Saccharomyces cerevisiae S288C: one gene and its partner. Changing the gene in region 1 together with any one later gene gives a genetic interaction. Each region holds a gene or a part of one and is shown on either strand. Other genes may lie near its edges.

Evidence for each region.
Region 2: mutations in IRC7 (region 1) and COX9 together harm fitness more than expected from each alone (negative genetic interaction), as found in Saccharomyces cerevisiae (one large-scale study listed by BioGRID).

Annotation. Positions count from the first base shown.
Region 1 is NC_001138.5:260,007-268,552, forward strand, and holds IRC7 (cysteine-S-conjugate beta-lyase IRC7), read left to right. Parts: upstream 1-4,197; coding exon 4,198-5,220; downstream 5,221-8,546.
Region 2 is NC_001136.10:333,075-336,128, reverse strand, and holds COX9 (cytochrome c oxidase subunit VIIa), read left to right. Parts: upstream 1-1,732; coding exon 1,733-1,912; downstream 1,913-3,054. Other genes in the region: isocitrate dehydrogenase (NADP(+)) IDP1, read right to left, coding at 8-1,294; CBS1 (Cbs1p), read left to right, coding at 2,319-3,008. UniProt on the Saccharomyces cerevisiae protein: Component of the cytochrome c oxidase, the last enzyme in the mitochondrial electron transport chain which drives oxidative phosphorylation.

The DNA of each region.
Region 1 (8,546 bases):
AAGAAAAATGAGTACCTCTCCTACTTATATTTCCCATTTTCTTGAAGGTTTCTCCTTCCCATATAAGAATTCCAAACGGTGTTCCTTTACAAACCCATAAGGGTATTAAAATGATTCTCAAAATTTCCTACTGCACTATTGTTTTTTCTTTCTAATAGATGAATCATCCGTACACACACAGAGACCACCGTTTACTTTCATATCAGAATAGAAGTTGTGAAAGCTACCTACGAGACTTAAATAAACATCTTTTTCGATGGTGAGCTTTTCATGGTAATTCGTCGAGACAGTAACTGTTTTGCTCTTTTCTATGATGTCTAAAGCCAAAACAATGTCCATCAAGACTAGCGTAATAAAAATCAACCTGCTCATTGACAATTGGATTATTTTTGGCTGTTCAAGATTAAAACAGACTCAGTAGGCAAAAACTTCAATCAATAGTACCGGGAAGATGACATTCCGGTCTAAGTGGTATTATACACTTATAGTAAAGTCACGTCAACCTTTGTTACTTTTCTTAATTGATTATATACGCACTCTTCTCAATATTTGATTTCTTCATCGAAAAGATCTACACGAAGTTTTTATCATGTGTTAGCGTGATGGAAAAGATCTGTGCACGTTTAATTAGAATTGCAAAAGCTTCAATGGGTTTGATTGAGATTTTTATTTTCAATTCACTCATCTTGATGTTCACCACCAAGCCTACATCGAAACTTTGAAATACAGGAAAGTTGCAGGAGGCTTTATTGGTTGAATTGAAAAAGAAAGGAAGAAAAACGTAATGGTAAAATAAAACTCGACTATGGCGCAACCGATAGAGAGTTTAGTGGCATTAGAAATTTTAAAAGAAGCTTTAAACTACAAAGTGTTCTTCTGAATCTGAATAAGGTCACTTACATAGAAACCTACTTACCTCAAAAGCGTAATTCCGAAAGGCAAAAGAAAAACTTTTGTAGAATCTTCAGCTGCTAGAAGTTCAAATAGAAGACAAATTACGGACTTGTTGCAGTATATGCCAAGCTACAGAAGAAATTATATTTCTTAATACGTACAGAAGGTATGAAACGTTAGTTTACTCACAGAAGATACCCTGGCTTTTCTTTTATTAATACATGGAGTTGCAAAAAACAAGGGAAAGGAAAATCAATCAAATTAGAATTAAGGTTTTTTTTGGACAGTGCAGCGTCAATGCGCACGTAATGGCTTCGAAGAAAAAAAGAAGGCAAATACAATGAAGCTGAGATCTTGTTTTATCATGAGGGGAAATAAATTGGAAGCATTGAAGTTGTTGGAATGAAACTCTAAAATATCATCTGTTTAGTAGTATCGTGTTACTAGTACATTATCACATACAGTGTAAGAAAATGACATTAGGTATGAGAAACAGTCATCAAATCTAATGGAAGCGAAATTCAAGGGTTGGTGATGTAATAGGATAATGAAACATATAAAACGGAAGTAAAAATAATCGTAATATTACAAGGAGACCAAACAAACAGTCGAGAGAAGCGTATGCACAATCATGCAAGAAAAATTTTCTGGAAGAATTTATTTAATCTTAAATTACAAATCTTAGTAGTAATGGTCACTTCTGATAGTTTCGAAAAAGGAAAGAGGAGATGACTATTGAGTCAAATTTTTTTGACGGAAACTTAGCGACCGAAAAATATATATGATAATAAGAAAACGAATGGCATACAATGATTAGTTTCAAATATTTCACGCGCAAAGAAAGAATTCTACTACCGGAGTGTGCCCTTCTTGTACTTTATTATCAGACTGTGTCTCTCTAATTGCGTGTTGTCCGCGGAATAATGCTCTAATTTAAAAAATCGACATATTCTGACTTGTATGGCGCTTTGCATTGGTGTTTATATGTTAATAACCCCTAATCATACTCTATATGAATACTTTCAAATTTACCAACACAATAAAATCTTCATATTCTCATGCATGTTTTGCCCTGTATCACTAAATAATACATACTTTACCGAAGCTGGTTGTATTTCGTGTATATCATAGCCAATGATGCCGTTATAATGTCCGAAATATTATCGCTTAATGAAGGGAAGCAGCTAACAAATATGACAAATACAGCAATTTCTTACACCGGTAACTAATGATTATACAAACAAGACTTGATTTTTTTTATGGCCTGTAAGAATATATCATAACGTGAGTTCTAGATATTTAAAGTTCTTTATGCATATTCTAGTCTACGTATATAGGAGTTCCAAAAAAAAAAAAAATTAAATGCACGTTATTCTTGACGCTAGTGTAAGTTTTTATGTACTTTACCTGCTAGCTTCGTATTTCTGTCTTGGGATATTCTTGTCCCTATTATGAGAATGTACAATATGCAAAATAAAGGTAAAAGATTTGAAAAAGAGAAAATACCCAAATATCAACAAAACTACCTCTATAGGACCTGTCTCATGGTCTTGACAACTTTATGCGAAATAAGAACACGATCGTTATATCACTTAACGCTTGAGATATATACAGAATGTAGTACATGTCGGCCCTTCTACGGATTTATTACCATGTGTATACTAGAATTGATACCGGCAACCCATAGTGACTTTTAACAGGGCAATTGGATTTGCATAAAAGTATATACAGTAATAATAATATTTCCTGATGAGAAAGGTGGAAAGTATCGAGTTATGTGTACCTTCAATACCAATCTCTACCTCTCGTTAATAGTGCCACAATGCTATGGATTCTAAGCAATTTAAACCGCATAGCTATTAGTGTAGACTTCCCACTGTATTTGAATGACACGTTGCCTTCATTCCTTGTTGCGCTGAACTTTCACGTCAGATATATATACATAAGTGCAATAGAGGCCTAGGCTAATCTGCAAATTTCTCATAGATGTACACCGCCTGTGCCGTACGGCATCGCTATCTTCTGAAAGGAAACTGTAGTAAATTTACCAAAATATCTCCGAATAAAAAGAAGAGGAACATCTTTTAATGAATTATAGAGTACAAAAGAATCATTTAAAAGAGAGGGCGAGTGAAAACATGAAAAGAAACGTTACTAACTTAATTGACCTTAAAGTAGCCTCACCAGTTAAGTGCATTATTGATCATTCCATGAATAACCATTTTTAAAGACTAAGATGCTGAGTTGTGTTATATAGAGAGAAAAAAACGTACTTTCAGTTTCCATATGAGGTGGAGCGCAGGTCATAGGTATGCCGGCTCATTGTTTTCTATTTTAAAAAGTAAAAAATATGCTGCTAAAGGAACACGTGAGAAATTACATTCTCCCTAGGTCTGCGATAACGCGGTAATATTACACTGCCGCCGCCTTCCATGCCTTTGGAAAGCAGACAATGATGCTAGGCGGCGCCCAGCAGTATAAACTTTTCTTGCTTATAACCAGAACCTCTATCACAAAATTAGAAACTGCGATACTATGGGTCAGATCGACACATAGGGAGCACTATTAGGCGCAAGGCGTATACATAGGCATTGCGTGTTCAAAAATTGTCGTATGAGAAAAGTTCCAAACTTTCCACCATTACTCACCAACAACTTACACCAGCCCGGATTTAAGATTTAGCTTCCGAGAATATTGTGACTCAGCCACTGGTCTCTTGAATGTTGCGTGTAGCTTGATTAAGATTATGGCATAACCGTTTTTTTTACTTGGCAAGAGTGAACGTCCTTTTACTCCAAAAGGCTCCTGATGAAACTGGAGAGTCTCTTTGTTCTGAAATTTTTAAAGTTTAGCACACCATATTCACGCTCGAGGTGAACCCAAGTTTTCCTGAAAAATGTGCCATGAACCTGAAAAAAAGAATTATTCTCGAAAATAAAAAAGGCAATCAAGATCGGAAAGATAAGCATTTTTTTTCAATCCGTATCTAACATTCATAAAGTGATAAAAAAATTGATAACGATTTTATTGTCGCCTCTTGTTTTGAGTATATTTTTTTAACGTTCTTTTTCGGCATTCAAATTCCGTATAATCAACTCAATTGTAAGGCGCCGTAGCATCCAAATAATGTTGAAAGTGCCAATTTGCTCATCAGTGCTAAATATTCCTTGATAAAAATATAGAAGACAAGGACATATAAAAAGAAAGACTGCTCTAGTGTTGGGACACCACAATGAAAAAATACTTAACGTGTTTCGAAACTGTGAATATAAAATTCCAGCAAAAACCAAAATATTCACTACAATGATTGATCGTACCGAGTTATCGAAGTTTGGTATTACTACGCAACTGTCTGTTATTGGACGTAATCCAGATGAACAAAGTGGCTTTGTTAATCCACCTTTGTATAAGGGGTCAACCATCATTCTTAAAAAACTTAGTGATTTAGAACAAAGGAAAGGAAGATTTTACGGGACAGCAGGTTCTCCAACTATTGACAATTTAGAAAATGCCTGGACGCATTTAACCGGCGGTGCTGGGACAGTGCTATCAGCTTCTGGGCTTGGTTCTATCTCTTTGGCGCTATTGGCCCTTTCGAAAGCTGGTGATCATATCTTGATGACTGATAGTGTCTACGTGCCAACACGTATGCTATGTGATGGTTTATTGGCCAAGTTCGGTGTTGAAACGGATTATTATGACCCATCAATAGGGAAGGATATAGAAAAACTAGTTAAGCCAAATACAACCGTCATTTTCCTCGAAAGCCCGGGTTCTGGGACCATGGAAGTACAGGATATTCCAGCTTTGGTCTCTGTTGCCAAAAAGCATGGGATAAAGACAATTCTAGACAACACATGGGCAACGCCACTCTTTTTTGATGCTCATGCGCATGGTATCGATATTTCGGTAGAAGCTGGGACAAAATATTTGGGTGGTCATTCAGATCTTCTTATTGGTCTGGCCTCCGCAAATGAAGAATGTTGGCCGCTATTACGGTCAACTTATGATGCAATGGCAATGTTACCAGGTGCCGAGGACTGTCAATTAGCATTGCGAGGAATGCGTACATTGCACTTAAGATTGAAAGAGGTAGAAAGAAAAGCCCTGGATTTGGCTGCTTGGCTCGGAAATCGAGATGAGGTTGAAAAAGTGCTTCACCCCGCCTTTGAAGATTGTCCCGGACATGAATACTGGGTTCGTGACTACAAAGGTTCTTCAGGCTTATTTTCCATTGTCCTTAAAAATGGGTTCACAAGAGCTGGTCTGGAGAAAATGGTAGAAGGGATGAAAGTTTTGCAATTGGGATTTTCATGGGGTGGCTAGAAAAGCTTCAACATGGCCTTACAAAGGTTTTGCACTAAGAATACAAGTGGGTCTCGAAGAATTTGAAGATTTAAAAAGGGATTTTGAGTTAGGCTTTGAACGTCTCGCAGAAGAAATTTCTTTGAATCCTTTACAAATCTGATTTTTTTTCCTTTTTTTTTTGGATTTCCAAGCAATGTTGTTTGAGAAATGAATGAAATTTTTGACTATAGCTTGTCTTAGGCAGGCTGGAGTAGACAACCATCTAGTAGCCAATGTTTGCCCAGTTAATATATGGTTCAATTTTCTAGCTGTATCATATTATGGATGATGAAGCAGATAATCTTTCTTTTTTCTGTATGTCTGATTGTAATAAAGAGGCTTACCATATTGTGAATGCATTTCAATGACACTGCATAATGAAGTCATTGTATTTAGAAAAGTAATAATTTTGTATTGTATAAAGATAGAAAAAACGTATATCGTACTTATTCAGCGGAAATGATTCTGCTTTATCTACTTGCGTTCCTGAATATAATATTTGTGAACCAGGCTTGAGCTTGACACTACAGATTTTTTAGTTCGATTTCATTCAGTAGAGAAAGGCATATCAATATGACATGTGATCTCACTCCGCGGCTAAATGCTAGCAATAAAAAGAATACCGTAATAGAGATGCAGCAAAATAACCACTGGTGTTTAAGAAATAATATGATTACGTCAGTAACCGAAGAGCCCGTACGCACTCTGCTACCATAGACTATGTATATTGTTACCTATTGTAAATAGCTATGGTTACTCTAAGTACGTATGGTGCTATGCATCTCGGTGAACGGATGCAATTATGAAAGTGTAGGTCAGAACATCATCGGTGGTTTTGTCGTGTAAAAAAGGTTATAAGGAAAATTATACTCACATGATTTTATTCATCATCGTCTGTGTATCGCTTCAATTAACATTTTGAAAAAGAGATTACTTTATATGACGTTATGTATATCTTTCAACTTAAATAACCTTAGCTGGCAAAATAAAGAATAAGATAAGGGCCAAGAAGAACGCTAATACTCGTTTTTTTTCAACTACAAAACAACTAGTTGGATAATTTTGAAACAACAAAGTAGAAGTTGTACATATATTTTTGCGCATATGGCTCTGAAATATCGTATTTTTCAAAAGCCCGATACAAAGCCGTCAGCAATACCCATAGTTAAAGATTCCTTGATAACCTATAGCTTCCGTAGACAACAACACAAATTTACCACCTACTTTTAACTCACCCATGTTTTTCAGTTTATCAATGAATCTAATAAACGTGGCTTACGTAACAGCTCCGCATGGACTTGAATTTACTCCTAGCGAGCCTAGTGTTTTAATTGCTTGCATACAATCTTCATCGGAAACTAAACAGGAAATAGATGGCCCCTTTCTGTAGTAGAAGAAATGCTGTTGCTGAAATCCTCGGACAGTTCAACTCATCCATGATTGTTCTAGAGGTTCCTAGATCAGATGAAGCCTTTTGTAACACCAATGACTTATTGACAGTGTAAGCGGTATCTGGTTCAACCGAGAAGACTTTCGTATTCGATTTATGCGACCTGTAATATGTTATCACTCCTTGAGCAAAAGAATCAGCCCCACAAGGGACAAATATTACCGCAGGATCGAATGGTATTTCGCTACACAAGGTAGTGTAACCATAAGAAATCCAGTTAGGAATTTCATCATAACCTATGAATGAAAAATCTTGAATAAGTTGATTTTTTTGTCGGATCGCTACTACAAAACTCTAAAGAACTTTTTATTGCATAATCATAGTTACCTTTAATTTTGATAACTTCTGCTCCCTTTTCTGATCTGATGTTCTCACGCTCTGTTCTAGAACATTCCATGGAGTAAATATTGTAGACTTTAAGCCTAGGATTTTTGCCATGTATGCAACTGCTCTACCATCATTACCATCTGTAACAGCCGCTAGCATCAAAGACGGGTGTTGGAATTTGACAATTTGCTTCAATGTATCCAAGGAAGTTTTAGGTAATGGCAGGCTAAATCTTCCAATCAAACAGCAAAATACACCTCAAGACGCCCCAAGAATTTTGAATGAAGGCGAGCTGAATCCCGAACTTTGTTCTTTAATGTACAATTTAATACCAAAATGATTATCCAACTTGATTAGCTTCGATGACTCATACAGATCCATACCAATATCAACTTCACGGATAACTTTTTCAACTCTTTTAAATTCTTCAACATCATTTTTCGATCAAACTGCGTCAGGTTTTACATATAGATCAAGCGTTGTCGGTTTATACTACGATGTCATTTACGATCTGCTGCCAACAGAAGAAACATTACGCAGTACCTTGGAAAAATCTAGGCAATTTATAGACATGAATCTCCTATCGTTCTTAAAACAATGTATTTCCTGTCGTTGTCTCGATTCTCTTTTTTGCTATTCTGAAGGACAGGTCCATTTATCATCCAGAATTCTAATCCCGAATTTAAGATATCGTAACAGTAACAACATCATATCCAAGCACCGAAGATTCATTGCTCTATATTCCTTGTCTTCGAATAAGGAAGATACCGCGAAGAGACTCTTTAGGAGTCGGGCTTGACTCCCTGCCAAAGCAGCTATTCCTGTATAACACGCGATATTTTATCTCCTTGTCGTCATGTGAAAGTCAAACAGCGCACGTTTGTTTGATGAAGCAGCAACTCTCCTCTTACTGCTTTTGCAGAATTTTGTGAGAAGCTCTCTTCTCTTGGAACTAACCTAGCCATATGGCTTTCTGCCCTCTTTCCGTCAACATTACAAGATAAAGATATCGGTATAATTTAAAGATTCGACCTTTACGCCCTACATGGCTAAAATTACAATGCCAAAATTATCATGAATTCACTTTGTTGACCCGGAATTACAATACAATGCTTCTAAAAAGAGATTTCTTTTAAATTTGTCAAGGGAAGTCATTTATCTCCACACAAACGCACACCGAAATATATATATATATTTAAATTTCCTCATTCTTTGTTGACAGGTTGATTTGTAACTAGAAATCAAATAATCGGGATGCGCAATACCCTGTAGTAGTCGATTCAAAAACTGATTAAAAAATCACTGACATTTAGCATAAGCGACTGAAAAAATGTACTGATTTCTTCTCGAGTCATATATACTATTACATGAGTTCGAGTATGGTGTTGTTTTCTTTAGAATGTCTTATCAAGACCGACAATTCATACAGGTCGAGATATGTAAAGTCTACATGCCGAGCTAGGATGAGAAAAAAAGTATACAAATTGCAGGCAAATAAACACACCAAAAGATACTAAAAAAATCTTTT
Region 2 (3,054 bases), on another chromosome or scaffold:
AATTCGATTACTCGATCGACTTGATTTCTTTTTGTAGTCTTTTTTCAACGGCATCCAAAAATTCTTCTGTGGTAACATAAGCAGATCTTTCGTTGTTACCGCAAGCCAAAGCCAAGTCCTTCGTCATGATACCGTCTTGCTGAACTGTGTTCAAAGTGGCGGATTCCAAAATATTGGCAAATTTACACAAAGCAGGAGTATTGTCCAATTCACCTCTCTTCAATAGACCTCTCGACCACGCGAAAATGGATGCAATGGAGTTTGTAGAAGTTTCTTCACCCTTTTGGTACTTTCTATAATGTCTTGTCACGGTACCATGAGCAGCTTCACTTTCGAAAGTTTTACCGTCTGGTGTAACTAAGATAGAAGTCATCAAACCTAAGGAGCCAAATCCTTGAGCGACGATGTCAGATTGGACATCACCGTCATAGTTCTTTAGCGCCATGATAAAGCCACCTTTAGATTTTATCATTTGAGCGACCATATCATCAATTAAACGGTGTTCATAGTGGATCCCTAGTTGTTCGAATTTGGATTTATATTGAGCTTCATAAACTTCTTGGAAAATGTCTTTGAACCGACCGTCATATTTCTTCAAAATAGTGTTCTTGGTTGACAAGAAAAGATTTAGCTTTTTGTCAATGGCCAGCTTGAAAGACGAATGAGCAAACCCTTCGATGGATTCGTCAGTATTGTACATGGCCATGGCCACACCACTGCCCTTGTAGTCATACACTTTCAAAGTTTGTGGTTGAGCAGTCGTAGGGTCGGATGGCTTGTAGACCAGTTCCAAAGATCCTGGGCCTGGGATCAGTGTGTCCGTAGCTTTATATTGATCACCGTGGGCGTGTCTTCCAATAATGATTGGTTTTTCCCAACGTGGGACCAGTCTAGGAATTCTAGGAATCACAATGGGCTCTCTGAACACTGTACCGCCGAGAATGTTTCTGATGGTACCATTAGGAGATTTCCACATCTTGTGCAGGTTGAATTCCTTCACACGAGCTTCATCAGGAGTGATGGTGGCACATTTGATACCAACACCATACTTCTTGATCGCCTCAGCAGCATCCTGAGTAATCTTGTCGGAGGTGGCGTCACGAGATTCGACAGATAAGTCGTAGTACTTCAAATCTACGTCCAAGTAGGGTAGAATCAATTTCTTCTTGATCTTATCCCAAATGATACGGGTCATTTCATCACCGTCCAACTCGACAACGGGTTGTTTGACCTTAATCTTACTGAAAGCAGCAAGGCGAGAGGTGGAAAATAATCTTCTAGATAACATACTCATGCTGGGCGATCTTCCTTGTGCGTCTGTTGTCTCACAATTGCTTGAAGGAAGATTTCATAAGATCATATGAGTCCCTCTTTATATGGGCAAGTGGAATTATGTGAGTCAAAATCCGCGCGTGACCCGTAAAGCGTTATCAGAAGGTGCAAACGGTGCTATTTAGCTCATAAAAGGAATGATTCAAGCTCTTTTGGATTGTAAGACACCTTTATTTAGTCCAAGATCATTGCAGACCCTTGTTATGGTCTTTAGCAGAGTCCTCCTCTATATCTCTTCATTTACTGCAACCTGATTGGCCCGCTACCACGATGCCCGCTTTGTTCCTGTGGTATTAAAAGAATCGATGAAAGAGACTCTTATCTTCAGGGAAAATTAGGACCGAGAATTAGAGCAAGCAAGATATTTGCAAACTACTAACTACAAGCGACTTACACAGACATGACTATTGCTCCAATTACTGGTACGATCAAGAGAAGAGTCATCATGGACATCGTCCTCGGGTTCTCCCTCGGGGGTGTCATGGCCTCTTACTGGTGGTGGGGATTCCACATGGATAAGATTAACAAGAGAGAGAAGTTCTACGCAGAGCTAGCTGAGAGGAAAAAGCAAGAGAACTGACCGAACCTGACCACTATTGTTTTTCGCATTATATTCTTATTCCTATTTATTTATCTTTTATTTTTTTTCTGTGCTGGCCTCGATTGATTACTTTTGCAAGAGTTTGTAGGGAAGGAAAACAGACAAGTCATTCTTTTCTTTCTTTTTGACCTTTATCATAATTTTCTATTTGTATAATTTGAAAAAATAGTTTTACATATTTATGTAGTGTCAAACTAAAATAAAAACAAACTTAAAAAAAGAGTTATAGAAAATGTATGTGGAGAATAAGACAGGCAGACCTTGAGTGAACTAGGAATAGTACAATATTACCTTTAGGAGGTGCCACGTACTACCCCTTTGCTTCTATTCTTCTATGGTTTCTTTATAGCAGGATAAAAGAATAAATCAGATAATGAATCTCGACATGTTGAGGACAAAAGTGTTTGCAACTACTGTTGCTCGAATATCTGGGATTCGCAGGTATATTCCCATCAGAACTATAAACACGGTGACGAAAAAGAATATTAGTAAGATAGAAAAACTGTGTGAAGTCCTTGAAGTTAATCCTGACGGATATAAAGGAAAGGAACGCATACCGACTAAAGAACTAACTAAACTGCTATATACCACAAGCAGGAATATGTTGGTACGAGTACCAATGACTGGAGACTTGAGCACAGGAAATACATTTGAAACAAGAAACGAAACTTTACAAAAATTGGGTGAACAGCTCATTCACTTGGAAATTAATAAGATGCTTACAATAACATTTACGAATTTCAATCAGTTTAATATAATGAACAAAAACTTCAATTACATTCATAACTTAGATCGAGCTCGAGTAGTGAACATGGACTCGATAAGCTGGCTTATCAAGAATTCGTTGAAAATTAACCAATTAGCTCATTTGCGAATACCTGCCAATTTGCCGAAGGAAATGGGATTAACTTCCAGCTCTAATGATTTTCAGAACTTGAACGATTGGAAAGTGATCTTATCCTTTATTGGTTACCTGAAATTACTCGAAATTAAAAACGATAACAAAAAATTCATTGAATCAATTATAAAAACTATATGCATACCTCTAATTAATTACCATTTGCGTAAATCATAGTACAAAAGAAACGATGCCTTTTTGTCCGTTATCCCTTTGTTTTATT